3 linked regions of the Struthio camelus genome follow. The protein of the gene in region 3 purifies or fractionates together with the protein of the main gene of each other region. This does not show direct contact. Links are inferred from orthologs where the notes say so. Each region holds a gene or a part of one and is shown on either strand. Other genes may lie near its edges.

The links.
Region 1: the proteins of KSR2 (region 3) and MAP2K2 purify together in Homo sapiens (affinity purification with mass spectrometry; 3 studies listed by BioGRID and IntAct, with this or other methods). This does not show direct contact. The link is inferred for Struthio camelus from reciprocal best matches to the Homo sapiens genes KSR2 and MAP2K2.
Region 2: the proteins of KSR2 (region 3) and FKBP5 purify together in Homo sapiens (affinity purification with mass spectrometry; 3 studies listed by BioGRID and IntAct, with this or other methods). This does not show direct contact. The link is inferred for Struthio camelus from reciprocal best matches to the Homo sapiens genes KSR2 and FKBP5.

The regions. Positions count from the first base shown.
Region 1 is NC_090967.1:4,357,937-4,367,201, forward strand, and holds the start of MAP2K2 (dual specificity mitogen-activated protein kinase kinase 2), read right to left. Parts: upstream 4,126-9,265; 5' UTR 4,023-4,125; coding exon 3,937-4,022; intron 2,758-3,936; coding exon 2,547-2,757; intron 799-2,546; coding exon 652-798; intron 1-651. Other genes in the region: CREB3L3 (cyclic AMP-responsive element-binding protein 3-like protein 3), read left to right, coding at 7,762-7,884, 8,016-8,271, 8,523-8,638, 9,091-9,222. UniProt on the Homo sapiens protein: Catalyzes the concomitant phosphorylation of a threonine and a tyrosine residue in a Thr-Glu-Tyr sequence located in MAP kinases. Activates the ERK1 and ERK2 MAP kinases.
Region 2 is NC_090965.1:5,057,932-5,067,067, reverse strand, and holds the start of FKBP5 (peptidyl-prolyl cis-trans isomerase FKBP5), read right to left. Parts: upstream 4,645-9,136; 5' UTR 4,535-4,644; intron 1-4,534. UniProt on the Homo sapiens protein: Immunophilin protein with PPIase and co-chaperone activities. Component of unligated steroid receptors heterocomplexes through interaction with heat-shock protein 90 (HSP90).
Region 3 is NC_090958.1:5,311,747-5,321,519, reverse strand, and holds the start of KSR2 (kinase suppressor of Ras 2), read right to left. Parts: upstream 4,460-9,773; 5' UTR 4,444-4,459; coding exon 4,267-4,443; intron 1-4,266. UniProt on the Homo sapiens protein: Location-regulated scaffold connecting MEK to RAF. Has very low protein kinase activity and can phosphorylate MAP2K1 at several Ser and Thr residues with very low efficiency (in vitro).

The sequences.
Region 1 (9,265 bases), on a different chromosome or scaffold from region 3:
CACCAAAGCCCAGCAGAAAAGCAGAGTAACTGGCCATGCAGTCTAGCATGCCTGCTGAGGTTAAGTGGTATATGAGCAGTATACAGCATCCCAGCCCAGCTGTCAGTAACAATTCGGCACCAAGAACCCTCCCATTAGGAGGGAAAAGATCTCTGATGATCTCTGTTAAAACTGGCTCTCACTGAAAACGATTTTAAAGCTGTCGTCTATCATCTCTACTTCTTGCTGTTAGCTTTTAGCATGCTTTCCCTTAGAGGTCAATGCAAAGATGATGCTGTCAGCACTGATCCAGAGGAGAAACAACACTCTTCCCTGCCAGAGACAACAGAAAACGCACACTGCACTTCGGGGAGTTCTGTAGAGTGGCAGGTTTACAACATTTCCGCTTGGCCGGCCCCCAAACCTCTGCTTCTGCTTTCCAGAAAGTCAACTTCTCTGTCATTTAGATGCCCAAGGAGGACCACGCAGCTTCTAGCAGGAGCTGAACGGCCTTGTTGCCCTCAAAGCAGCCAGAGCAAGAAGCCGTTGCAGCTGCCAGCTGAGAGCGCTAGCAGGCTTACCCACTTTGCCTGCAGTTTCAGTCTCGCTGAGATGCGACTCAGAACATGGAACCGGAGAGCAGCAGTTTGCAGGGGAGGAACACGGACTCACCATGTGCTCCATGCAGATGGAAATCTCCCCATCGCTGTAGAAGGCTCCATAGAAACCCACAATGTATGGGGAATTACACTCGTGCAGCACCTGCAGCTCCCGGATAATCTGATTCCTGATGGCTGGCTTGATTTCTAAATGAATCAGCTGCCAAGAAAGAAAAAAATAACATCAAAGTATAGTGCCTGGAAAAAAACTACGGGGCCATGAGAGCCTGTCCTCAGTGCCGGAAAGAAATTAAAAAGCACTCGAGGAAGCTCTGCTTTGACCTAGACTTTATTGTTTGCATGCTAAACATTAAGGATAAAGGGGACAACCAGCGTGCTGCGCAGCCTGTTAGCAACTGAAGCAACTGCAGGCCCAAGTAACATGCCGAGATCACACTGGCTACAGAGCAGAAAGATAACTCAGAAGTTGGGTGCAGATCTGACTCAGCACACAACATTTTCACAAGCTCTGTAGGTGTTGTAAGAATATAAGAGGTGTTCTGATATCAAAGAAACCACAGAAAGTAAAAAAACATGAAGATTATGCACTTGAAAGACCAACTGCATTATTCCTTGGGCTCCACGTAGAGTCAGCTAACAAAGTTGTGGGTAGGGAAGCCATAGAGGCTGGAAAACGTGACGCCAGGTTACAAAAGCAGCTACTGTTACTGTAAGCTCTAAGACCTCCCTCACCAGGGACTTCTGGCCTTCCTACAGGGCCACAAAGGCTGGTCTCTGCAGGGACGCACAGCACTGTGCTGCCTAACCTTGCCTTGAGCTTCAGTTTCTGAGCTGCAGTAATTTCAAAATCAGTTACATGTAATGCTCCCAAATCAAATGCCACAATGGAAAACCTCAGAGATGTCAGCTCCAAGGGAAGCTGCCTAAAGAAACATATTCGCTCTTGAGAACCACTGAACCTTGCCGTTACCTTGTAAACTGCTCCCACAGCAGCGAGAACAGAGACTTTCAAGGAAGTTGTCCCGTGGATTAGCGGTTGCGCTATTCCCTCACTGAGCATTGCCTTTTCTAACAGGCAGATAAAATATCTTCTCCTTTTCTATCACAGAGCATCACAACAAGAGATGACTCCCATAAACCCATGCTCGAGAGGCTCTGTTGTCATGACAGACTTGCAAGGCTGCTTGGAACTGTCTTGGGGATCAATTAAACGGAAGCTGGGGGGTGAGCCAGGCACACAAGACTTTCTCTTGTCTGTGCAGGAGCAGCTCAAAGCTCGGGCTTGCAGTAGGGGAGCTGCTGTGCTCACAGGGAATCCTTCTCTCTATAATTTCCACCAGGAATTTTCAGTCCTCATTAGCTACAACCTAAGACTCTCTGTTGCCTGTTTTCCCCATCCAGTTTAGCAGACGGAAAAAGAATAAACTCGCGTTTCCACAAAACACGTTGCAAAACCCCAGGGATCTGTTGCGGAGCGCGCTGCCCCTCCCCGGAGGGCCCACTGGTGAAGGGCGAAACGGCTGGATTGCTAAGAGACAAGGGGAGAGAGGCTACACACAAAACCCAGCTCAGGGCAGCAGGGACAGTCGTTACCAACCCAGGCGACGAGGTCTGTATGCAAATTTGTGGGGCTGAGCAGAGCCCATCTCACAAACACTACCTGGCTGCCAGGTTTGGCAAGAAGGTGCAGGAAACCAAATTCCCCTCCCTCTGTTACGCGCAACAGCCACCCCGGCTGACATCTCAAGGAGCCGCATCTATTCCCGGGGCAGGCAGGAGAGAATCGCCAGAGCAGACAACCAAGACGGATACCACTCAGTTCAGCGTGAGAACGGGTTAACGCAGAGAGATCCTGACCGAATCCGGCTTTCCTGGGGCTGGGATGAGCGCAATATGCCATTGCGCCTTACCTCTCCAGCAGGCCCCGGGCACCTGCCCCTCCGTTACCTTTCGTGCCATAATGAGTCCTGAGGGTTTGTGCTGCACTTTGGTGACCACGCCGCCGTTGCCGGCTCCCAGTTCAGAGATCCTCTCAAAGTCATCGTCCTTCAGCTCCCCGACCTTGGCTTTCTGGGTGAGAAAAGCTTCCAGGCGCTTCTTTTGCTGCTCATCCAGTTCCAATTCCTCGAGCTTCTTCTGAAGGTCTACTAGGTTCGCCCTGGAGAAAGACAAGGAGGAGAACGGAGAAACGGTCAGGAGTCTGCGGGGCCATCGCCAGAGAAAGGGGGCTTGTCCGGTCCTTTGCTCTAGCGGCAGAGGCAAAACGAAAGCACGGCTCACGACGGGTTAGAGAGGAGGGCCCAACCAGAGGGAAGAGACTCCCAAAACCGTTTAGTGGAAAACGTTTGACACTGCAGGGAAGGAGAGGGAAATAACAGAAAAGCCCCATCTTACGCGTAATCAGACCAAAACCGTGATATAGCAGAGAGACTAAAACAAAGCTCAGGAGAGACGCAAGGCTTGGCTACGCTGCTGATGGGGACGTGCGGGCAGCAGAGACCAGTGATGCAATGTCTGCCCAACACTTGCATCTCTTCCAGAGAGGTTTTTTAATACAGTCAGCTGTCTCAGGAAACCCCAAGGAGCGGGGAAAATCGTTCGGCCCTTAAAGGGGCAGCAGAGCTCAGCCCGGGGAGAGCGACAGCACCAGCGAGCAACCTCTCGCTCCGCAAGCGCAGGGAGCCGAGCTTGGGTTTCACGGCGAAACACGAGAAGGCCCTTTCCAGGCGTCCAGCAAATCCCCCTGCTCCGTTACACCCCCGGCCGCCCCTCCGCTCGCCCGAGCACAAAGGGATGTCTGTGCTCCCCCAGCACCTGCTGCCCGGGGCGCCCGGCGCGGGCCTACGCGCCTCCTAACCCGGCTCCAGCCTCCTCCTCCGCCCCAGAGCGGCGGGGGGGACCCGAGCCAGCAGGCTCGGAGCCCCACGGGCGGCTCTGCCCCCCCCCCCCCAAGCTTTCACCGCCCGGCAGCCCCCGACCCCAGTGCCGCATCCTGCTCCCCCTGAGCCCTAGTCGCTCCCCTCCCTCCCCCAAAACTGCCCCCGGCCCCCAGCCTGGCTTCCCTGTCCCCTGCCCTCTAGGACTAGCCCCCCACCCCACCTCGCCTCAGCCCCCCAACGCCGGCCAGCGCTGCCGGGACACCCCCCCCCCCTCCGGCTTTGCCCAGCTGCCCCCTGGTCCCCAGCCACCCTGGGGGCCCGGCCCCCTCCCCACCTCCTGCCTCCCGCCGGCTCTCCCACCCCGTCCCCAGGCCGGGCCCATCCTGCCGCCCGGGGCCGCGGCGGTGGCAGCGCCGTGACGGCGCAGACCGGCGGCGGCCGCCGCCCCACTCACTCACTCGGCGGAGCCGTCGGGGCTGGGCCCCTCGGCGGGGCTGGGGGCGATGTTGAGGGCCGGCAGCACCGGCTTCCTCTTGGCGGGCATGGCCGCGCCGGGCCGTGCGGGGCCTAGCGGGGGCGCGGCCGCATGGCCGCGGGGGCGCGCCAACGAGCGCGCGCGGGAGGGGATGGGGGCGGGGCCGAGCCGCGGGGGCGGGGCCGAGCCGCGGGCGGCGGCGGGAGGGGCGGGGCGGCGGCGTCTCGCGAGAGCGCGGGGCGGGTCTCGCGGGAGCGCGCGCCGGCGGGAGCGCGCGCGGGGGGGGGAGGTGGAGGAGGGGAGGGAAAGGGCGAGGGCGGAGGGAGGAGATGGCGGCGCGGGGTGAGGGAAGGAGGACGGAGGAGAGGGAGGGACGGGGAGAAGGCGGCGAAGGCCCGGGCAGGGGGACGGAGGGGGCTCCGGGAGGGCGACGGCGGCGGGGACGGACAACCCCAGCCGAAGGGACAAAGGCTGCAGAGCCAGGCAGAAGGGGGCCGTCGGGCAGCGGGCGTCACAGGGAAGGAGCGGGCGTCAGGCGTCGGGTCCTTCCCAGGCCTGCCCCGCCGGCCGCCCCGGCCCCCTCGGTCGCTCTCGGCGGCCCCGCGCGCCCAGCAAAGGCCGAGGGTAACGGTCGAGGGCCTTAACGAAGCGGGGCGGTTAGCAGCCTCGGCCGCTGCGGGCCGGCCTCGCCCTCACGCCTCCCGCCGCCGAGGAGCCGGCCGGCCTCGCCCGGCCGCGGCCCCGGGAGGCCGAAGAGAGGCCGGCGCCGGGGCCGGGATGGCGGCGGCTCCAGGCCGAGCCGCGCGCCCTTTGCTCGGGCGCCAGGGGGTTCCCGTCTCCGGCAGCAGGGCAATAAACGCGCGCGGCGGGGCCGGGAGCGGCGGCGTCACCGCGGGGGCGGAGGGGTAAAACCGCGGCCTCGCGCCCGGCCCGGCTCCCGTCGCCGCCAGGCCCCCGTTTTCCGCCCGGCTCTCCCCCTCCTCGCTGAGGGCGAAGGCTCTCGGCGTGGTGCCCGGGCTTCCAGGGACCCGCTGTGACACCTCCATCCCGGGGACGGGCACGGGGACGAGCCGCCTGGCCCCTGCTCGAGGGTCCCGCCGCGGCCGAGCCGGGCCGGCGCTGGGTGCCCCACCGGATCGGGCCGCCGTGCCTGATCAGAGGGCGTCGCGCAGCGAGATAACGGCCGCGGGCAGCGGGCGGGTGCCAGGCGCACGGCCTTGTCCTCGCCGTCCCGCTTGCCACACCTCGGTCACACGCTTTCTTACTCACCGGGGCTCCCGGTTCGCCGCTGGGCTGCCACACGGGGAGCTGCAAGAGGCCAAACCCTTCCCTTCCCCGCGCCGTGGCCCAGCTGCACTGCCTGGCCCAGCTCAGGCCGTGGCTGGCTCTTCCCTCCTCAAAGGTGTTTCTCCCCATGGAGAGGGGTCTCGGGGTGGGGTTATACCTACCGACGGAGAGCAGGATCGGACCATGAGTCTCCAAAATGCTGGTCTGGCAAGGCAATGAGGGAGCTCTGTGGCACAAAGGAGCTCTGGTGGCATCTAGGTGGGGGTCTGGAGGCCAAGTGGACCCAGTCTGGGTAAGGAAGGAGGATGCCCAGGCCCGTGTAAATCTGTGTCATGATGTTAAATCCCCCAAGGGGGCTGTCCGAGCGCAGGTGCCTTTCCGGGACGTCAGGCCCGGGGTTTTTTCCATCCCACTGGAGTTTGGGGTCATGGCGTGGAGGGTGCTGTGGCTGACGTGCCTCCGGGCTGACGCCCTCACCACAGGGAGAGGGAAACGTGGGAAAGCAGCAGCCAACAAACTCCAACCCTTAGCAGGGAAACTGAGGCACGGAGGGCAGGGGCTAGCCCTCGTGGGAGCACCGGCCTGGGTGGCAGCACCCAGGCGTCCAGCCCAGCAGCTCTCACCCTGGTCCCCGGGACCAGAAGGGGTCAACATTTGTTGAGCACAAGATAAGTAGCAGAGTCCAAGTCAACATTTTCCCCGGATGTTGTTCTCAACACCTATATAACGCAATTAATGCTGATACGCTGATCTAAAAAAAGGGAAATTGGGCCCGAAATGGGTGAAAGTTCATTGGCAGCTGCGGCAGCCGGGACTTTGCCCCACCAGCCCTGGCCCCTCCTGCCCCCCCTTAGCGGAGGAGGACAAAAACATTTAGCTAATGAATTACGGAGCGGCGCAGGTCCTTCCTGGCAGCCCGGCCATCACTCAGCGCTGATCCCCAATCAGGGCCCGGGTGATTTTGCAATCCTTGATGCTATTTCTGTGTGGTTGGAGTTTAAACTTTGCCACTTGGGTCAGGGCACCGCAGAGGAGGAGGAGGCTGGCTTCGGTGTCCGGCCCGCTCCCTCTGCGTGCCAAGGGGGTTCGAAGGACGGGACGGACCCACAGACCCTGCTCCGCTAGAGCTGGGATCTAGCACAGGTAGGTCCTGGCTGCCAGCACTCACCGCTGGGCACTCGAGCCGCTCCGTCAGCCCCGGGGCCGATGGGGCTTGCTGGCAGGAGAGAGCGAGCGTGACGAGGAGCGATGAACCCCCGTCCTGGGGACGGCTGGGCAAATGTCATGTTCCCAAACTGGGCTTGAAGGGCTCTTTGGGTGGGTGGTCAATAGGTTGGGAGGGTCAGAGGGGTGGTGGATTGGGTGGTTGGGTGGTAGTTTGATAATCGATTGGGTGGCCGGTTGGTCATTCGATCAGTCAGTTGGGCAGTTGGTTGGTCGGTCAGTCGGTCAGTAGGTTGGTTGATTGGTCAGTCAGTTAGTCAATCAATTGGCTGGCTGGCTGATTGGCCATTTGGTCTGTTGGTTGGTCAGTTGATTGATTCGGCTGGTTGACTAGTTGGGTGGGGTTGGTCAACTAGTTGGCCAGTTGGTCAGCCAGCTGGTTGGTCACCTGGTCCGTTGGCCAGCTGGTTGGGTCTGGGGTATCAAACCGTCCCTGATAACTGGCGCGTTCCTGGTAGACCAGGGCTGAGTCCCCTTCTCGGGGCCGGCCAACAGTAGCTGCCCCTGCCCCCACCATGTTAACCACCCAAAATGATTAACCTGATCTTCCCGAGCACGTCGCGCGTGGCGGATGGGTCTGTTGGGGAAGCTGAGCAGCACCCAGGCCTGGGTGCCCCTCGTCCTCCTGTTCCAGGGGTGCCGGGGCAAGTGTGTGCCCGTGGGGAGGGTCAGCCCTGGCTTTGCAGTTCTCTTGGGGGAAAAAACATAGGGAGTGGGAGTTTCAGCCACTGGAAGGGGGCAGAGGGAGGGACCCAGCTTCAGCAGAGCTACCCCTGGGCCCCCAAGTCTGTGCATGCACATGTGTGCCCGGCCATATACGTGCTCTGCCTCCCACACGTGCACATGCGGAGACCTGGGCTTGCCTGGATGCGCTCGCACACTCACAAATACGTGGGTACGTCTGTCCAGATATGCCCACAAGCACGCAGCTGCATGGCCGTGCACCGGCACATGGTCACACGCTTGCAGGTATGCACACATGCACGTGGCCCCACACACACACGTGTCAGCATGGTCACAGCCACCTACCTACACATCTGCCTGCTCCTACGCACGTGTCCACATAGTCACAACTGTGCGCACGTGTGTAGAGACATGTCCCCACAGTCTCACACACGTGTCCCTTGCACCAGCCCTGTGCCCATCCCACAATTCGGGGTGTCCTCGGGCGCCCCAGCCCTGGGGTCATGCCGTTCAGGGGAGGTGGCTGGGCCCTGGGGAGGAGGGCAGAGGCCAGCGGTGACCATGGGGCAGGGGGGACCGGGGCCGGTGGCCTGACCCTGCCGCCTCCCCAGCCATGGCCTCCAGCGTGGGCGGCCTCAACAGCCTCGACCTGCTGGACTTCCTCTTCGACCGCGAGGACGGGATCCTCCGCGGCATGGAGCTGCGGATGCCCGCGGGCCCCTGGCAGCAGGACGCGGTGAGTCCCGGTGGGGCGGCCTGCCTCGCACGAGAGCCCGAACCCTGGACCTTGCCAGATGGGTGCCCCGTGGAGACGGGTGCCCCGTGGGGACAGGTGCACCACGGTGACGGGCGCCCCTGTCCCTGCAGCGTGCCCAGGACAGCAAGGACTTCATCAGCTCCATCCTGGGCTCCGGGGACTCAGCATCGGACTCTCCCGGCTGGTCGCCAGCTGCCAGTGACAGCGGGGTCTCCGAGGACCCCCCCTCCGACCAGCTCGACAGCCCCCTGGGGTGCTGCGACGGGGGGCTCGGCGAGGCCTCCTACCCCTACTCCGACCCCGGCCAGCCCCTGCTCCTCCTGGGGGTGCCTGGGGCCCCGCGCCCCGAGGTCTCCATCGACCTGGGTGAGCTGTGGGGAGAGACCGGGCTGGGCACTGGGGGAGCTGGGGGCACTTAGGGGTACTGGAGGGGACTGGACAGGCTGGGGAGAACTGGCAGGTCTGGGGGACTGGGAAGAACTGGGGAACCGGGAGGAACTGGGCAGACTGGGATTAATGGGGGAGGAGCTGGAGGAGCTGGCCAGGAGTCCTGCACTGGGGTCGGGGGGGACACAAGACACGGCACTGCTGACAGCACCCGCTCTTCTCTTGCCCAGACATGTGGCACCCGGGCTTCTTCCTGGAGGAGAGCCAGGACCCACCTGCGGCCCCCGCGCCAGCATCCTGCACCCTCACCGTCAAGGACCTGCTGCTCTCAGGCAGCTCTGACCCCGTGAGTCCCTGTCCCCTTGTCCCCACCCCTTACCTTCCCTGAACCTTGGTCCCATCTCCATCCCTGTCGCCTGTTCAACCATGATCCCATCCTCATCCCTGAACTATGGTTCCATCCCCATCCCTGTCCCCATCACTGTCCCTGCTTGGCCATGGTCCCATCTCCATCCCTGTCGCCTGTTCAACCATGATCCCATCCTCATCCCTGAACCATGGACCCAACCCCATCCCTGTCCCCATCTCTGTCCCTTCCTGAACCATGGTCCCATCCATATCCACATCCCTCTCCCTGTACCCTCCTGGACCATGGTCCCATCCCCAACCCCAACTTTGCTGTTACCTCTGGGGCCTTGGTCCCTTGGAGGAGGGGGGTCCCTCGGCCCCCATGGTCCCTCGGGGTGGGTGCGGGGTAACCCCGCACCCTGGGGACATCACCAGTCCATGGCCCTGCAGCAGCTGCCGGTGCCCAGCTCCCTGCTGCGGCAGAGCCAGGGGCAGTGCCAGGAGCTGGTGCTGACGGAGGACGAGAAGAAGCTGCTGGCGAAGGAGGGGGTGTCCCTGCCCACGCAGCTGCCCCTCACCAAGGTGGGTCCCACAGCAGCCGGGCGCAGGGCGTGGGCACTGCGGC
Region 2 (9,136 bases), on a different chromosome or scaffold from region 3:
ACCCAGCACCGTTCAGATTTCAGTCCCTATCACACGTTTATAAAAGCATGGCAATGAAACGCACAAACACGCTCCACGAGACATTTCTGAAAGAGTTTAGCTTCAAAGCAGATGGAATAACTTCCAGCACACAGCTCACCAAAGTTCAATTGCCATAAAACATCCAGGTCCTCTGACAGCACTAAAAAACCCATTTAGGTAAAAACCTTAACAAAAGGCAACTCTATTTCTCCCTAACCTCACCCAACAGAGTTAATTATTCTCCAAGTACTTTATTAAGGTACTTTCTCTTCTCGGCCAGACACGTCAATACAGGGAGCTGCAACCAGATGACTTGCAAGACTGACAGAAATCTTAATACCGACTATCTTGAAATCAAGCTTTACAGCAAACTTTCTCCTTCTCATCCCGCCTTGTACACAGTGTCTTTTGCAAGCCTGTAATTAAAACCCACCTAATTACACAGCAACGTACTGATGTTCTTGAACAATACAGTTTGATTCAGGCTTTCTAGAAATCTCCTTGCGGGCGGCTGTTACTCACCCCATGTAGTTTCTTTTGGCTTAGAAGATCCCCCCCCCCCCCCCCCCCCCCCAGGAACTGTCCTTATTTTTTAGCTCATCTCAGTGGGTGAGGTACTAATAGCACTGGGAAAGGACCTTGAAATAACTCAACTATGCACTGTGCAGACCTGGGAAGCTGGAATTCCCTATCCTTAAGTTTAAAAAACTACCACACGCACAAATAAAAGCTGGACCGGGGGGGGGGGGGGGGGGGGAGACAGTTGCTATATATTTCACAAGCTGCTGTACACAGACAGCACTAGACGACATCCAAAAGACTTTGGGGAAAAGTCAGTGGTATTCCCCCCCTGCCCCAAATCACTTTCCTTTTTATGCATGTCTCCCTAGAAAAAGCAATGCCTCCACTTCCAGCCGTTCCCAGCAGATGCCTCCGCTTTGTTAAGGCTGGCAGGGTGACGGGCATCACTAGCAGCCCACGTCTTCCCAGGTCTCCTCCGCTCCTGGGTTTGAGGTAGGAGCCCCCAAGGGGCTTCCCAGACCCCCCCTCCGGCACCGGCTCCCACTCACAAACATGCTACAGAGACCTCAAACGTCACCTTCCCCCTGCACACCCGTCCTTTCGTCCCCGTTCGCTGCTTGCTCTTCTTCGCCCCTTCTGCCCAAAACCACAAGAGGTCACATGTGATTCCACCCTCCCGCTCCCCCCCGGGGGGGGTTCAGCAGAAGTGATAACTTCTGTACCAATTCCACCAAAATCTGCTTTTTTCCCCACACCATCATCACATTTTCCCCAGCCCGAGCGCCGCTTGCTTAACCTGTCCAGAACACCCATCCCGTGGCCTTCCTCTCATACTACTCTGCTGTAGGTGTCATTCTCCTAAAAATCCCTACTTCTTGATTATCCCTGCGCAAGCAGCTGCCTCCTGATGCCCTGCACCTTTCCTCTCCAGGTAGGAGAGGGTAGGAGAACAACACACGCCTTCACAGTCATCCTTTTTCGCCCGCCTCTCCCTGGTCCCCCTACCGCCGAAGGGCCCCGGGGTGCACGTTCCCATCTGCTTTGGGGCACGCGTCCTCCTCACGGCAGCAACAGTGCCTCAAGGCACAAGATATTAGGTATTTTACAGCACTGCAAAGAGGGAAGAGCCAAAAATGGGAGTTGCCCCTTTTGTAAATGGGAATTTACAAATTTGCCCAGCCAAGCAAAATTTGTGGTTCGATTTACTGTCACGAGAACCCCAGAGAATGGGATCTTGATCCTCATTTTACAGATAATTATGATATGGGGTGTTTAAGCTCTTTCCCCAAAATAACCGGATTTGGGAACAGAAAGGAGGGCAGATTGCTCCCCAGTTTCCTCCATACCGGCAACACTTTTCCTCTCATTGCAGAAAGGCTCCACTCTTTTGCAAGCACGCTGCGTAGTACAGGATTACCTGCGACTACTCTAAACACGCAGTTTTATTGTAACATTTCGTCCTTCTTCTGCTTTCAGCCTCCAACTTCTCAGATGTTGCTGTCCTCGTTCATCATGTCCTATATAACGCTGCAATGCTAGTCCTCAGCCCTGCAAAGTATCTTTGCTCTGTAAAACTCTTCTGCAGCGCAGAAATGTTATTTTCACTCAACCCCATTACTCCTAGTTAACCCTTTACAAACTGCAGCAAGCGTTTCTTCTGCCTCGCTGGCGTTTACATCCTCTCAAGTTGTGTTGTACCAACGGGATAAAACTAAGTTGCAAATATAAAATCTATGCACTTCAGGTCACAAAACGACAACGTTCAGCAATTTCAGGCAAAACTGAAAGCAAATCCTTGGTTAATATTCTGATTAGAAATACCTTAATTAGGTCAAAAGCTATTCCACCTCTGAAAATTGCCAATAAAAGCTGGATAAAAGTTCTAGGAGATTTAATTAACTTTCTTCCCCATAAGTACATTCACGGGGCAGGATGAGGAAGAAGCAGCAATGTGGCTCCAATACATTTCGCAGGAAAGAACAATTTGTGCTTTCAACTTTTTACTTGTAATCCCAGTTTCTAGCACAGATTTGGTCCCCAGTGACGTCCTGAATCCAGCTTAACGACTCATTACGGAAAGCCATCGTTTAAACAAACATTACCTTTAAAATACTAAAGTATCAAATCCTGATTCGAGGCGGGGGTGGGGGGGGTTAGACGTATATTTAGATTCAATACACTTGTCTGATGGAAGGAAATTCCACAAAATAGCAGCTCACCAGCCTCATCTGCAGTATTAACTGACCGTGGCAAAGCCCTGTTTGTTTAACATGCACAGTTTCACAGCGAAGACAGAAACTTGACTGCAGCACCAGAGCCTCAACTGGAACTCTCCAAGCAGAGCCGCAATGCACGACTGATGAATTTATCCTTCAAAAGCTCTTCTAGCTCATCACGTAAAATATTCTTTTTTGACAACAATACGCTTATCTGAATATGCGTTTGCACACTAGAAAATAGTAGCTTCAAAAGAGCTATTCTGTCTACTAAGAGGAGGGGAAAAGAGTAGGAGTATAGGGGGGAAAAAAAAGAAAAATAAGTACATTAACCTTGGGCCATCTGCTATAATTACTCCAAGTGAAACTATATATTTATGTTCACATTCTATACAATATTTTTGGCAGATGTTATTAGAGAAAACATTAGTAACGAGGCAGAGGAACCCCATTTTATGACAACTCTGTGCCTTTATAACCGGGGGAAAAAAATAACCTCCCTTGGGTAGTTCCCCATTGTCACAAACTAAAGGACATGGACTCCTATTTGATGCAGAGGTTTTGGTACGTTTTAGAGAACTAGCCGGTGGCAAAAGACACCGGGCTGCCTGCAGCGAGAGTAGATGACTCGCGGTCACTACTCGCATAAAGACATCACACGATTCTGGAAACAAGTGAAATTTCTCGCAGAGAGCAAAGAAGAAAGTTAAACTTTTTGGCTAAGCGCTTGCAGTAAAGTACGGCAAGGACATCAGCTTCTGCGGCCTTGGGGGGCTCTGGTATCACAAACACAGCACACTAAAGCCAGGAAACACCGACGCGAGCACCCCGGCGCTGCCCCTTCGGGCAGGGCGAACTAAAGCAGGGCGCGCGCGGCTTGGGGGCCGGCACCCCAAGGGCCCCCCAACGCCAAGTGGGGGACGCGCCTGGGCTCGGGTGCCCCAAACCGCGGCTGCGGCTCGGGGCCGACCCTGCCCCTCGCCTTGGCCGAGGCCCCACGGTCCCCCGTCCCGTCCCGTCGCCCTCCTCCACTTCTGTACCGTCCCGGCACCGGGAGGGGGCTGTGGGGCCGAGGCCCCCACCCTGTCCCCCCACCACCACCACCACTGCAACAGCCGGAGGCACCAACCCCCTCCTCAGGGAAGGGATCAGTCAGACCCCCCCCAGCCCCACGGAGAGCCCCCCTGTGCAGATCTTGGCACCCTCCCTAACCCCCTGCAGACCCCCCCCAACCTCCTATGTACCCCCCTTACCCCCACTGCCCCATAGAGCCCCATTCAGGACCTCCCAGGCCCACAGAGCTGCAGGCACATGCAGACCCCCCCCCAGACCCACACAGACCCAGAGAGGGCCCCCCTAGACCCATACAAGCTCCCTCTGCTAGCCCCACACAGACCCATACGAGCCCCCCCTCCTAGCCCCACACAGACCCATAGAGGGCCCCCCTCCTAGCCCCACACAGACCCATAGAGGGCCCCCCTCCAGCCCCACACAGACCCATAGAGGATCCCCCCAGACCCATACGAGCCCCCCCTCCTAGCCCTACACAGACCCATACAGTGCCCCCCAGCTCCATCCAGCCCACCAACCAGCCCCATATAGGGCCCCCCACAAGCCCTATATAGGGCCCTCCAGCTTCACACAGACCTGTACAGGGCACCCCCGGCCCCCAAAGCCCCCCCCCCGGCCCCATATGCCCCCCCTGCCCCACACAGGGCACCGCCAGCCCCCTGTAGGGCCCACACAGCCCCCGCCCCCCCCCGGCCCGGCCCTACCTGCCCCGCCGGTGCCGCTCACGCTCCGTTGCGTCGCCCGGCTCCGAGTGGCACCGCGCGCGCCCGCGCCGGCCCGAGTCTCCCCGGCCGCTGCGCCCCGCCCCTTCTCCCGCCTTCCATTGGCCGCCCCGCCTGCCCGTCTCGGCCGATGTTGCCCGCAGCGCCTTCTCATTGGCTCGGTGGCGGCGCTATGCAAATGAGGAGGTTTTCCCCACCCCCCCCCTCCACGCCTCGGTCCTCCCCCTCCCGCCCCGCCCCGCCCCGCGCACTTGCTGGGGCAGCGGCGGCAAAGCCAGAGCGACCCCAGCGCCGGGCGGGCAATGCCCGGGGGGGGGGGGTCCGTGCAATGCCCCGGGGGATTCAGCCCCTTGCAATGCCCCGGGAGGGGGGTCTGTGCAATGCCCAGGAGGATCCAGCTCCATGCAATGCCCCTGGGGGGGGGTCCAGTCCCTTGCAATGCCCCGGGGGGGGTCCGTCCAATGCTCCAGGGGATCCAGCTCCGTGCAATGCGCCGGGGGGGGAGGGGGTCCATGCAATGCCCCAGGGGATCCAGCCCCTTGCAATGCCCCGGGGGATCCAGCTCCATGCAATGCCCCCGGGGGGGGGGGGTCCAGTCCCTTGCAATGCCCCAGGGGGGGTCCGTCCAATGCTCCAGGGGATCCAGCTCCGTGCAATGCCCAGGGGGGGCGAGGGCTTTGTGCAATGTCCCCCAGGGGCACCGGGGTGCCAATCAGTACTCTAGGGTTACCCCGACCCCATGCAGCACCCCAGGGTGGGGGTCAGCTCTGTGCAGCGCTCCAGGGCAATTCCAGCCCCGTGCAATGGCCCCCGGGAGATCTTGGCCCCACCCAGTGTCCCCAGGACCAACCAACCCCATGCAATCCTTCAGGGGTACCCCGGCCCCACACTGCACCCCGGGGACACCGTGGCCCCTTGCAGTGTCCCCGGGGCTGCTGCGGGCCCTTGAAGCGCCCCCCGGGGTCCCAGGCCCCGTGCAACGGCCCGAGGATGAAGCAGCCCTGTGCAATGTCCCGGGGGACCCCAGCGCCGTGCAGCGCTCCGGGGGTTATTATGGGTCACAGCCCACCAGGAAAATAAACTTGCGCTAAAGTCTGAAAGCTAGTGATGGAAAGGCACTCTGTTGGGGGACACGCCGACTGTTGGAACAGGCAAAAAAACGTTACCGCTCGGCTTAAAGCAGGTAAGATTTTTGTTAGGAGCGGCGTCGACATGTGAGATTAGGCAAAATAAAAATGCATTTTAAACAAGTATCCTACCGCTGCTTGCGGACCTCAGCTCATCGCCGCGGCCGAGCTGGGAGGCCGCCGGGCTGGCCCACCGCGCCGAGCGAAAACGCCACGCTGGGCGTTTTCCTAGACGGGCGTTCGAGCTCGTGTGCCCCGTTCCCGTCCTGCTCCCCGTTTCCCACGCGTTCCTCCAATACACCCGCCCGGGGACGGGCTTAATGGACGGCTCGTTTTATCGATGCTTTCTTGCGCGCCTGTTTTTTGATGCTGAATTCGATTTTTGGTTTCCCCCCCCCCCAGCTGTCATTTCGACACCGACGGCACTCACTGGAAATAGGGAGTTCAAATTAAAGCCCGCTTTAAAAAAAAAAAATAAAAAAGTTGAAGATTTATCTTCCTGACAGCGTCATGCGTTACAACAAAGCCGAAACGCCGGGGGGGGTTGGGGGGGGGGAATCTCGCCCTTTCAGGAACACGAGGCAGCGACCCAGCCGCACGATTTGGAGAGCTGCTTTGAAATATTTCCGGCCCGGCCTCGGAGGGCTTTACATTTCCACTTGCCAAATAAACGTTGTGGCTTTCCAAACGCGCCCTCCCCAAACTGGCAGCTTCTTTTGGTGCCGGGGGGGGGGGGGTAACGGCAAAGCCTGGGAAAAGCGCACCCAGGCCGACGGCGGCCGTCGGGGGGGGGGTCCACGCTGGTTGCCGCTGCACCACAAAAACGGTCGATTTGTTTGTTTAAGGGCGGGGGGAAGCAAAATACTTGGCAAGTGTTATTTTTGTGTGTTTTTAAGAGACCTTTCGAGTCCTCGTGCTACTGCCGCCCGCCTCGCAGCCGGGGCAGAGGCGCTGCTCCAAACTCAGTCCCCCACCCCCCTTCCTAATTTCACAGCCGCATTAAAAAGGAAATTCAATTATAAAAAAATACACACATATACACACACACACATTAAAGCGGCGAGCCTGACGCAAACTTCCAAAAGGCAGGAAATTCACGGTGAAAGCAGCCGCTCTGTCCTCGCTTCACCCTATTGTGCCTGGGTATCGCCGCCCAGGCGTTATGTAAGATCGCGCTGTCCTCAGCCCGCAGCTCCGGCGCTTGGATTTCGCTTGAATTTCGCTTGAATTTCGAGCAAAACAGGAGCCTCGCGGCGCTCGTTTGTCTTGGGCGGCGCGGAGCGGGGCCGGGGCCGGGGCCGGGGCCGGACGGGAGCCGAACCGGCTCGGAGCGGGCTGCAGCCGCTAGCGCTCCCTGGGCAAACGTGCCCGCGAGGGAGAAACGGGATGGGGCGGGCGGGGAGGGGGGCTGTGCTTTGCATCGCTGCAGGTGTGCAGGAGCATTTTATCCCAGGAGCATTTTATCCCCGGAGCATTTTATCCCAGGGGTATTTTATCCCAGGAGCATTTTATCCCTGGAGCATTTTATCCCCGGAGCATTTTATCCCAGGGGTATTTTATCCCTGGAGCCTTTCATTCATGCGGCGTTTGGATGCCGCGGCAATAAGCGCTCGGGGGATGCTAGCCCGAGCCCGGGGTGCTCCAGGAGCCGCAGGGGAAAAAAATGTTCTGCAAAACAATCAGGGCTGCGCACCGGCACGTCCAGGGTGAAACCGGGGCCGAGAAAGTTTGCAAAATGCTTTATCCTCCCCCCCCGGCTCCCTGCCAGCTCGGGGGTCCCGAATGTGCCCCGCAGGCGGCCGCCGGCCCCCGGGGCCTGTAACACAAGCTCGGAGGAAATCTGCTCCTCCGGAGCCAGAAAAACCATAAATAATCTCCCAAGGCTTTGCTGTCGCTGCCAGGGGGACGGGCTGTTCCCCCCGGCCATCCAGCTGGCCGCACATGTCCTGCCCGGCGCCCTGACCCCTCCGTCCTGCCCGAAAAGCGCGGGGGCCCCGCGCTGAAACCCCGCAAAAACCCGCAAAAAAAAAAAAAACCCGCAAAACCCCGCAAAACGCCGGCCGAGCCCGGCGGGATCCTCCCCGACGGCGATGGGCGCCCGCCCCCCCGGCGATGGGCGCCCCCCCCCGGCTGCACCTCGAGAGCGGAGGGCGCAAATACAGAATCGGGGATATTTTTAATTCGTCCTTTTTCTAAAAATAACCCGAGTTAATCTGCCTTGAACACTCGAGAGAGAGAGGAGGGAAAAGAAGTCCCTCCCGTTTGGCTTCAAATCTGAAAGCCGCATCACAGTGAATCTCTCGAGCACGTGGGAGATCAAAGGAAATCGGTTGTTTGGGGTTTTTTTTTTCTTTTTTCTTTTCCTTTTGTTTGCTTGGCGGCCGGCCCGGCGCTCCGGGCTAGCGGGGTCGCGGGGGCCGGGCGGCCCCGGCCCGTCGGGGCTTCGGCGGCGGCACGAGGGGTCGCCAAAGCCTTTCACATCCCCCCCCCCGGGTTTCGCCGTCGCGACCCCGATGCCAGGCTCTTCCCAAAGCCTCGCCAAAATCTGGCAGCCGGAGGGCACCCGGCCTCACCCCCCCCCCAACCCCCGGCACCCTTAAGCGGAGGCTTTGCCGGACCCGCAGCATCGCCCAGGCCCGAAATCGCCCGACGGCGCCCGGCCTCCGCTTCCTTCCAGGCAGCTGCCGCCGGGGACGCTTCCACCGGCTGGAAGGACGCAAACATTTTCCTGGATTATCTCGCCGCTGAGAAAAAAATTAAAAAAAAAAAAAAAACCAAAAGACAGAAAGAAAGGAGAAGAACGGGAGATGAAGGGCAGGCCGGGCAGGGCTCTGCCCCACGGCGGGCGCCGGGAGCGGCCAGCAGCTCGCCCCCTCGGAGATAAAAACCCGAGAAAGTGACAGCAGGATGCAGCGCGGCCGGAGCGCGGAGTATAAATAAAGTCCAGCTTTGGAGAGCTGGACTCGGGCCACTTTTAACACAAAGTACATTCCGGCCTGGACGTAACAAACTGTACCAACCTCCTCCGGGGCCGCGGGGACCGGCCGGGCTCGGCGGGTGCTCCCGCCGGCGCTGCTGGCGGGGGATGTGCAGCGGGGGGATCTCGCCCATCCACACGAGCCTGGGTCGGGCTAGGGCTCGGGTTGCATTTCCAAAATAAACAACGAAAAAAAAAATAAAAAACAAAAAAAAAGGAAAGAAAACGAGCGCCAGCATCGCCGGCGGGCCCCATCCAGCCCGCCGCCGGCCCCGGCGCACGGCCGGTTTAGCGAAGGGGCTCCGGGCGGCTGCGATTATTTTTTTTTTTTTAAGGTAGAAAACTCGGTTCGCTCTTCTGGCGGAGGAAAGCGGCTCCGCCGCTGACCCCGGGGCCGCGGCGAGGCGGGCGCGGTGCCAGGCGTCCCCGGCGCGGGGACACGATGTACCGAGCGGCGGCGGGCGCCGGGAACAGCCTGAC
Region 3 (9,773 bases):
ACGCGAGCCGCCCGCCTTCCCCGGCCGGGCTCCGCGCGGCCGCGGCGGCCGAGCTCGCCGAGGTGGCGCTTTCGGAGCGCTCTGCCCGCCAGGGCGCCTCCGAGGCGGCTCTGGGCTGCCGCGCCGACCCTGGCTCCCCGCGCCGTGTATTTCGAGGGCCGCTAAGCGCTCCCCGGGGGTCTCTCCAGCCGGCTCCAGACCTCACGGCCCGGCTCCAACTCGCTGCCGCTCTTGCACCCGGGCCGAGCGGCGACGCTGCAGGGACGCCGGCAGGCGGGACCAGGGGCGTTGTCGCCGGACCGCTCGCCGCCGTGGGTCAGAGCGGCTCTGCAGATGCTCCGTCCCGGCCGTTTGCTCCCGTCCTTCAGGAGACAGATCGGCCCAAGTCCGGCTTCCCCCGCGTCGCTGCCCGGCAGGACGGCGGCAGGCCGGGCTGCGGCCCCGGCGGCCGCCTCGCCGCCGCTCGGCACGGCCGCCAGCAGGACCGCGGAGCCTCCTTTCCCCGCGGCCGCGCAGCGAAGCGGGCCCCGGTCCCTGCCCAGAAGCCCCCCGGGGAGGAGCTTCGGCACGGCACGGCGTTAGCGGCTCCCTGCGCGGCCGCAGCACGTGAGACGCGGCGACTTGCGTGGACCCGAAGACGGTTTTAAAAAAAAAAAAAAAGGGAAGAAGAATCGAGGCACTGCTATTAATCCCCCAAAATCGGGCTTTTGCACATCAGGATTAAGCAAAAAAAGGCAACGTTGGATGGCTCCCCGCCGCGGCCGGGCTGAGACCCGATGTCACGACGCGGCCCCGGCACTGCCTGGGGGAGCGCGCAGCGGCCGCCGGGGGGTCCCGCCAGCCAGGCGGCTCGTGCCGCCCGCCGCGAAGGCTGCTGCCTCCTCCGCCTCGCCGGCCGCCCCGCGCGACCTCGGAGCCCCCCGCCGCCCGCCCCGGTGCTGCTGCAGCCAGGCGGGACGCGAAGAACCGCGGGGCCGGGCGGCAGCAGTGGCGGCTGGCTCCGGTGGGACCCCAGGTCACCACCGTCACCGTGGAGTCGGGCCGGCTCTACGCCGTTGGGCCCGGCACCAGAAAAATGCCCCTAGATACCTGCTTTTTGGCCTCGTCGCTGCAAACCGCCTTAGGAAAACGCGCTCAGCAGGAAAAGCCGAGCAGCCACGTGGCGCTGGAAGTCCGGTCGGCCGGCCCCATCCCGCGAGCCTCGCGCCAGCCGGGAGCGACACACGGCGAACGCGAGCCGTGGTGGCGGGTGCAGCCGGGGACGGGGCCGCGGCGCGGTCCGGCACCCCGGGGACCGCTCTGCGCTGCCCGGCGCCCAACGACCCGGAGCAGCATCTCACCCGCGCCGCCGGCCGCCCCCCTGCTCTGAGCGTCCCCGTTGAAGGGCGCACCCGCGTACTCGTGCAGCCGTCACCGCGCGCGGCGTGAACTTCCTGCTGCAGAGCCGCGACGGTCCAGGTGCTGCCTGGAGCCGGCCTGTTCCCCCCTGCCTTCCTCGTCCCCGCGGGCACTTGGGCGCGGGTGGAGGCAGCAGCAGCAACCAGCAGCTCCGCGGCACCTCCGAGCCCCCCTTCGCTCTCCTGGAGTCTCCCAGTTACCCCAAAATTGCTGTCGAGCCACTCGCCCCCCGGGCTGAGCTCGCAGCCCCCTTGCCCTGCTTCGTCCCCGTCGTCCCCGCCGTCCCCGAGACTTGGCGTGGGACAGACCGCGGAGCACGGGGCGCCGCACCACGCTCCTGCCCCGGGTTTCTCCGCCTGCTCCGTCCGATGCCTCCCGTTTACCCCTGGCGTTAGGCAGGAGAGGGGCAAAAACACGTGAGAGCCCCGCTGCCCGGCTCGCAGAGGCAGCGACGGGAGCAGGATCGGTGCACAGCAACCGGCGGCCCCGGCTGCCCTGCTTGCGCCCCTGCAAGCCGAGGATGGGCTGCAGGCGCCAGCATGGACCAGTCCGACAGCGGCCCAGGGTGCAAAACTGCCCCACGGAGGGGAGGTTGCAGGAGCCCAGCCACCGGCGCGGTCCCGATTCCCGCAGCCCGGCATCCCCGTGCCCGGCCAGGCCTGCTGCCTCCCCCCCCCCCCATTTAATGCCAAATCCCTCTTGCGGGGGTCTCAGCACGCTCCAGGGCAAACGCCTGCACACTGGGACATGACAGCCCAGTCCAGCCGCCCCTTCTGGCACCCAGCGCTGACACTTGGCAGCTTTTACTTATGCACGTTTCAGCCAGCTATAAAACTCTACCGATATAGGAAATAAATGGGATTCCCGCGCACCAGGCCCCAGCGAGGGGCTGGCCGGGTCTGCGCCCCACGTGCTGCCAGGCCGGAGGGCTTCAGGCCTCAGAAACCCTCTTAAAATCCCCATGCCCACCTCCCCGGCATTAAAAGGAGCCGCCGCCGCAGAGGCATGCGTGATTTTTCCCGGCCGCGGCTCCTGCCCGCAGCCCTCGGCGGCTCCCGGCAGCAGCCCCGCAGCCCTCGCCCCCCGAGCAGCCGGCAGCCCCGAGGCCCAGCTGGAGGCCGCGGCTCGGCGAAGCCTCCCCTTCCCGCAGGGGCTCTGCCCAGCGCCGCGGCAGGCTGCGAGGGTCGGGAGAGGCGCTGCACCATGAGGATGCCGGCCTGCCCTCAGCCAGGGGCCAGAGCCTGGCCAAGGGGATGGAGCCTGGTGGAAGGGATGCAGCACGGGTGGCGGGAGGCAGCCCGGCCCGGGGGATGCAGCTCAGCGGAAGGGAAGCAGCCTGGCCGAGGGGATGCAGCCCGGCCCAGGGGATGCTCCTGGCTGAGGGGGTGCAGCCCGGCCCAGGGGATGCTCCTGGCCAAGGGGATGCTCCTGGCTGAGGGGGTGCAGCCCGGCCCAGGGGATGCTCCCGGCTGAGGGGGTGCAGCCCGGCCCAGGGGATGCTCCCGGCTGAGGGGGTGCAGCCCGGCCCAGGGGATGCTCCCGGCTGAGGGGGTGCAGCCCGGCCCAGGGGATGCTCCCGGCTGAGGGGGTGCAGCCCGGCCCAGGGGATGCTCCCGGCTGAGGGGGTGCAGCCCGGCCCAGGGGATGCTCCCGGCTGAGGGGGTGCAGCCCGGCCCAGGGGATGCTCCCGGCTGAGGGGATGCCGCCTGGCCCAGGGGATGCTTCTGGCCCAGGGGTTGCAGCCCGGCCCAGGGGATGCTCCTGGCTGAGGGAAGCTCCTGGCTGAGGGGATGCTCCTGGCTGAGGGGATGCTCCTGGCCCAGGGGATGCAGCCTGGCCCAGGGGATGCTCCTGGCTGAGGGGACGCAGCCCGGCCCAGGGGATGCTCCCGGCTGAGGGGATGCTCCTGGCCGAGGGGATGCAGCCTACTGGAGAGGTTGGAGCCTGGCTGCAGGGATGCAGCCCAGCTGTGGGGATGCTCCCGGCCAAGCGGATGCAGCCTGCCAGAGAAGCTGGAGCCTGATCACGGGGATGCTCCAGGCCGAGGGGCACGCAGCCCGGCCACGGGGATGCAGCTCGGAGGAAGGGAAGGAGTTGGGCCGAGGGGCTGCAGCCTGGCCGAGAGGATGCTGCCGGCCGAGGGGATGCTGCCGGCCGAGGGGCTGCAGCCTGGCCGAGGGGATGCTGCCAGCCGAGGGGATTCAGCCTGGCCGAGGGGATGCTGCCGGCCGAGGGGATGCTGCCGGCCGAGGGGAAGCAGCCTGGCCCAGGGGATGCTGCCGGCCGAGGGGATTCAGCCTGGCCGAGGGGATGCTGCCGGCTGAGGGGATGCAGCCGGCCGAGGGGATTCAGCCTGGCCGAGGGGCTGCAGCCGGCCGAGGGGCTGCAGCCGGCCGAGGGGATGCTGCCGGCCGGGGGGATGCTGCCGGCCGAGGGGCTGCAGCCTGGCCGAGGGGATGCTGCCGGCCGGGGGGATGCTGCCGGCCGAGGGGCTGCAGCCTGGCCGAGGGGATGCTGCCGGCCGAGGGGATGCTGCCGGCCGAGGGGCTGCAGCCGGCCGAGGGGATGCTGCCGGCCGAGGGGATGCTGCCGGCCGAGGGGATGCTGCCGGCCGAGGGGCTGCAGCCTGGCCGAGGGGATGCTGCCGGCCGAGGGGATGCTGCCGGCCGAGGGGCTGCAGCCTGCCAGCAAGGCTGGAGGCCGGCCGCGGGGATGCTCCCGGTCCTCCTGGCAGACAGCAACATTCAGCGTGTGCCAGACCCAGCTCGGGGGCCACCTGCAGAGCGCGCAGGCTCACTGGGGCGCACTGCAGCGCCGCGAGGGAGCCGGCCGGGGAGCCCCGGCGGGCCCGGGGCTGCGGGCCCCTACCTCCAGGGTGCGGATCTCCTTCTGCGTGAGGTCGTTGGAGGCGGCGCACTTGGTGCGGAGCCCCTCCAGGTTGGAGATGCTGATGTCGATCATGTTCTGGACGAGCTCGCACTGCTGCAGGGCTTTCTGCAAACTCAGCTGCTGCTCCTCGCTTTTCGTCATGTTTTCCTCATCCATCGCTCGCCGCGGCCGCGCCGCCCCCCCCCCACCCCCCCCGCGGCCGCCGCCGCCGCCCGGATGCGGGCTGCGCGCCCCCGCGCCGCCTCAGCCCCGCGCCGCCGCCGCCGCCGCCGCCGCCGCCCGCAGCATCCCCGCGGGGCGCGGCGCGGCGCGGCGCGGCGCGGCCCGGCCCGGCCCGGCCCGGCGCGCTGCCCACCGAGCCGTCAGCGCGGCGCCGCGGCCGCCTCCCCCCGGGCGCGGCGGGGCGGGGGCGGGGGCGGCGCGCTCAGGCACCGCCGGGGCCGCGCTCGCTGCGCGCCCCCCCCCTCGCTGCGCGCCCCCCCCCCCCCCGCGCTCCGCGCACCGGCATCCCGGTCCCACCCCCCTCCCCGCGCACCGGCATCCCCCGCCCCCGCCGCCTCCTCCCCTCCGTTGCGCACCGGCGGCCGCGGGGGTGCCCGGCCGGGGGAGGGGGATGGTGAGCATCGCTGCGAGGCTGCAGTGGCTGAGGGGCACCGGTGGCTCGGGGGGGGGCTGCAGTGGGGCCCTGCTGCAACGGGGGGGGGGGGATGCTGCAACGAGGGGACCCTGCTGCAAAGGGGGGCCTGCTGCAACTGGAGACTGTGCTGCAACAGGGGGGCCTGCTGCAACAGGGGGGCCTGCTGCAACGGGGGGCTGCTGCAATGGGGGGCTGCTGCAATGGGGGACCCTGCTGCAACGGGGGACCCTGCTGCAACGGGGAGGCCTGCTGTAACGGGGGCCCTGCTGCAACTGGAGACTGTGCTGCAATGGGAGCCCTGCTGCAATGGGGTCCTGCTGCAACGAGGGGTCTGCTACAACTGAGGGCCCTGCTGTAAGGGGAGACTGTGCTGCAACAGGGGATGCTGCTACAAATGGGGGCCCTGCTACAACTGGGGGCCCTGCTGCAAGGGGGGACCATGGTGCAACGGGAGGCTGTGCTGCAACGAGGGACCATGCTGCAACAGGGGCCCTGCTGCAGCCCCCAGGGCAGAGGCAGCCAGGCCAGGCTGCGTGCATGTCGCTGCAGGGCAAGGGAAGGGGGGACAGCTAGGGGGGCACAGGGAAGATGCACCCCCAAAGGCCTAAGGAGGCTGCAGTGGGGCTGCAGGAGGGAGCCCTTTGCAGAGGGAACCGGCCGGGCTGCATGCACGTCACTGCAGGGCACACGCTCGGCCCCCTTGGAAGGCGCCGTTGCCCCCCGCTGCCCTCCCGCCCCACAAAGCCTCCTGGGGTGTTTTGGGGGACCTGCGGCCTGCGTTTGCCAGTGGGCAAGGCCGCTGTACCCCAAGCACGGTACCGGGGCCCGGGAGAGCTCGAGCCGCATTTAACTTCCCGCCACTCTCCCAGGGCAAAGCCACGCGGAGAGGCCGCACGCCGCGCCGGGCCCCACGTCCCCGTCTTTGGGAGCTCGCTCTCCCCGCGCCCCTTCACACCGGTTTGTTTTGCGTGCCTGTCCCGCACCTTGCCTCCCTCCCGGTTTGCTCCTGGGGAAGCCGATGCTGCTAAGGGACAGGCCAAATCCTGCTGCGCTTTCCCGACACCAAGGGTTGCACCGAGCGGCACGAGCAGGGGAGACGGAAAAGCTGCAACGGGGACAGGGATGCCAAGGAGAGACCCTGCTGTGGCAACAGGATTTGGCCTGCAACCGAGCAAAAAAGCAACAACAACAAAAAAGCCAAATAAAAATAAAGATGCCAAACGTCGTCTTCAAGGCTTGCTGCAGCGTGCCTCCCCCACGCTCACTCCCCCTCCTCTCCCGCGAGCTCCTGCCTCAGAGCCGCCGCTCCGGCTGCCGCGAGCGGCCCGGAAAGCCCACGGCCGCGGTTTGGGGAGCGAGCGGCGGAGGACACCGGAGCCGACGTCCCCGCCGCCGTGCAGAGAGCCATGTGCCTTAAAAGTGCCTTCTGCAGCAGCCCCCGCCGGTGCGGCTCTCCTACTGCACACGCAGAAGCGCACAGCGCAATCGCCTGTGCGTAAATGGGCAGCACACCCCAGGACTGCCTCTGCGCCAAATACACGCAGAAGGGGCGAAGGGCGAGAGCCACCCTCGTCCAGGCGCGGGAGAGGAGCGCCGGGGACAAAACGTGCTCGCGGGGGCAGCCGGGCTGGCGGCGCGCCCCGGCCACGCGGCTCCTCGCGCTCGCAGCCTTCCCCGAGGCGACAGCTTTGCCCTGCGCTGGCTGCCCCTTTGCAGGACGCTGTGCGGGCGCTGCCCAGGGGATACGGCCCAGAAGGTTTGCAACGTGCTGCTCATCGCTTTCTTTAAGCAGGAGTTTTAATTTACAGGCTTGGCCCATCGCCCCAGCGTCGCGGACCGTCTCCATCCCTCCCTCCCGCTCGCAAGCCGTTCACTTGCGCTCAAGGATCCTCTTCCAAGTGCATGTGTGCAGGTTTGTGGGGGGGAATTAAAGGGGTTTTAAAGAAATTACTGGGATTTTAGCTTCCCAGCCAGGCGTGTGCTGTCCTGCCTGGAGGGCACATCCCACTGGAAGCACCAACACCTGGTCAATTCGGTCACAACTGGTCATTTTTGGCGCTGCACTACAGGATCAATGTTTTCGGCAATGGCTCAAAGGGAAGAGCGTAAATCCCCACTCGGGCACTCGACCTCCGGGAGCACTTTGTCCCTCCCGGCTCCTTGCGAGCCGCGCACCCGAAGACAGCACGGCACAGCCGGAAGAGAAAGACAAGCCCCTGCAGAAAGCGCAATGCACTTAAAGCAACGCAATTGCACCCAAATGCACCTAAGCGGGACGGGCTAAGCTCCAGGCCACGTCCATGGAAATCAAGTGAAAGGAGCCTCCCGCGCGGCCAAACCGAGCTCTTCGGCCCTTTGCCGACGCGGGGTGGATGGTTACGTGCGGGATTCAGCCCGGCCTGGCCGTGAGCCCGGTCTGGATGGAGGCAGACCTGGCTCACGCAGGGACAGAGCGCCCCGAGTCGTCCTGCCCGTCGCGGGTGAGCACGATTTCGCTGGGTACAGCTCCAGATCTGGCTCGGATTGCTTAGGAATACAGCAGCATAAGCTGCCACCAGTCCTTCGCAAGGAGATGCTGCTGCATCTCTCCAGCCCGCAGCGCTATTATTCCTGTTAGCGGAGGCGTCACGTCCTTTCGCGGGTTTTAAGCGAAGAATAAACGCGCACCTGCTCCAACCAGAGCGATTTCTTGGGGAGAGGTGCAGACCTTTCCTTGAGCGCCTAGAGCAGATCACAGCTGCCTTCCCGGCCGGGCAAACGGCAGTGCAAAAGTCACGGGAATATGCTTGAAATCGCTGGCCACGTTGCCCGCTGCGCCCCTGCCCGGCCCCCGAGCAGAGCGCCCGGGGCCGCGCGGCGCCCCAGGAAGAAGGACATTTCCGTTCGCGCCCGCGATCGCCCGGAGACGCTCGTCTAGAGCGTTTACCTCGTTGCCAAAGCGTTTGGATCGGACTGGGACTGACTAGCGAGCCGCTTGGAAACCGCTGGGCAGAAACCTCCCTCGGCCACAGAGCTCGTCTCGGGAAAGAAATCCTGCTTTGCTGTCGTGAGGTTGAGCATCCCGTTGCAGCCGGGCTGCGCTCTCGATGTCGGTCGTAATTTCACACGTATCTGCATGGGCGCAGGTGCGTGCGTGTGTGCGTGTGTGTATATATGTATATGTGTATGTGTATCCCATACCTGTGTGCGTTGTAGCTGTGTTTTAGCAGGGGTGGATGGCTGGGATCGCCCCCTCGCAGCTCACGGGGCAGCACTGCATCCCCCAGGGCAAAGGACCGGGCCGGGTTTCTTTTTGGGTGCAAACTAGCCCAGTCCCCGGGCCTGCGATAGCCCCAAACCGACTCACCGCGGGGGGAAGCCGACCTCCCGCTCGGCTGCTCTTTAGCCCCGGGATAACGAGGAACGGCCCTCCGGAAAGGCCGGCAGAGAACGGCGTCCTGTCGACTGCTGCGGCAGGCACTTTTTGAAGGCCGTAACAGGCAGATATTTAAATATCGCCTGCGTTTGAAATGCAATGCAATTTCTGTCATTAGCTGGAGCACAGGGAAATAGGAGAGAGAGAAAAAAAAAAAAAGACACACTGGAAATTTTCTCTCCTGCTGGCTTCTGTGGTTAATCAAGTCTTTCAATAACCAAAACGGAGATAACAGGGCAAGGCACTCTTTGTACTCAGCGCGTTTGCAACAACAGATTATTTTTTGCCTAAAACATCTAAGCCACCAGCACAGTCATTTCTACGGTCGTCGCTCCCGGGCGGCTTACGCGGGAGGCAAGGACGGGACGGTCCCGCGCTGCCCACGGCCGCGAGGAGGCACGAGGCAGCGCGCCGGGAGCCCCAGCCCAGCATCTGGCCGCTAGCGAGGAGGCGATCCCCCCGGCCTGTCCGCGGCGCAAAGACAGCCGAGATAACCCCCCCCCCCAAAAAAAAAAAACAACGCAAGCAAAACGGGTGCTGGGCGCTGAAAAACGACCCCGAGAAGCAGCCGCGGGGCAAGACGTGCCGAGGCTTAGGGCGCGCGCCGACCCTGCCGCTCTCCAACCGCCGAGCAAGCTCAGCGGGCCGCTCCGCGCCGAGGCCTCGCCGGGGCGGGCGCACAAGGATTCGGGACAGCCCCCATCGCCTGCAGCCCCCCCCCGCTCGTCAAGAGCAGCCTGCAAAGCGGCCACGGTCCCCCCAAGCCCCCTGCGACATCGCTTCGCTGGCTGACCGAGGATGGACGGACAGATGGCCGGCCGGCCGGATAGCATCGCCGGCGCGGTGCGGCGCGGCTCGGCTCGCCCGTCGCCGCTGCGCCCGCCGCTCGCCGCCTGCGAGAACAGGCCGCGAGCGCCACGAGAAAACACCCTCGTTTCACTATTGTACGGGCAGTCTCGGGCGGCTTGAATTATTCATTTCCTTCGTTATCAGCGTCTGGCTTTCGTAACGGGGCTGGACGCGCGCGGCGTTACTCAGCAACGTCAGCTGCTTCGTTTCTTCGGCAGACGTCGTCCACGGCGCGACGGGCTCCCATAGAGCGCGCGCCGCCGGCGCCGCTCTCCCTGCGGCCCCCGTCCCGGGCGCCCGTGCCATCCGCCGCCCACCCTCGAAACCTGGGGGCCCTTCCGTTTGTTTCGAGGGCCGGACGAGCGAGGAGGCTGCTGCTCCGCTCCGCCGGCCCCGGCTGATTCCCCGCCGCCAAAGAGCCTCCCCGCGGTTTCCCGCGGGATGTACCGCCACCGGTTCCCCGGGATTCCCCCGTCCTCTTGCCCAGGGACGCGCCTGACACCGGGGGGCCGCGGACAAGCGTCCGGCGGGGCCGGAAACTCGTGTCGCTGTTTGCAAAGTACGATGTGAACTGCTGGCCCCCTC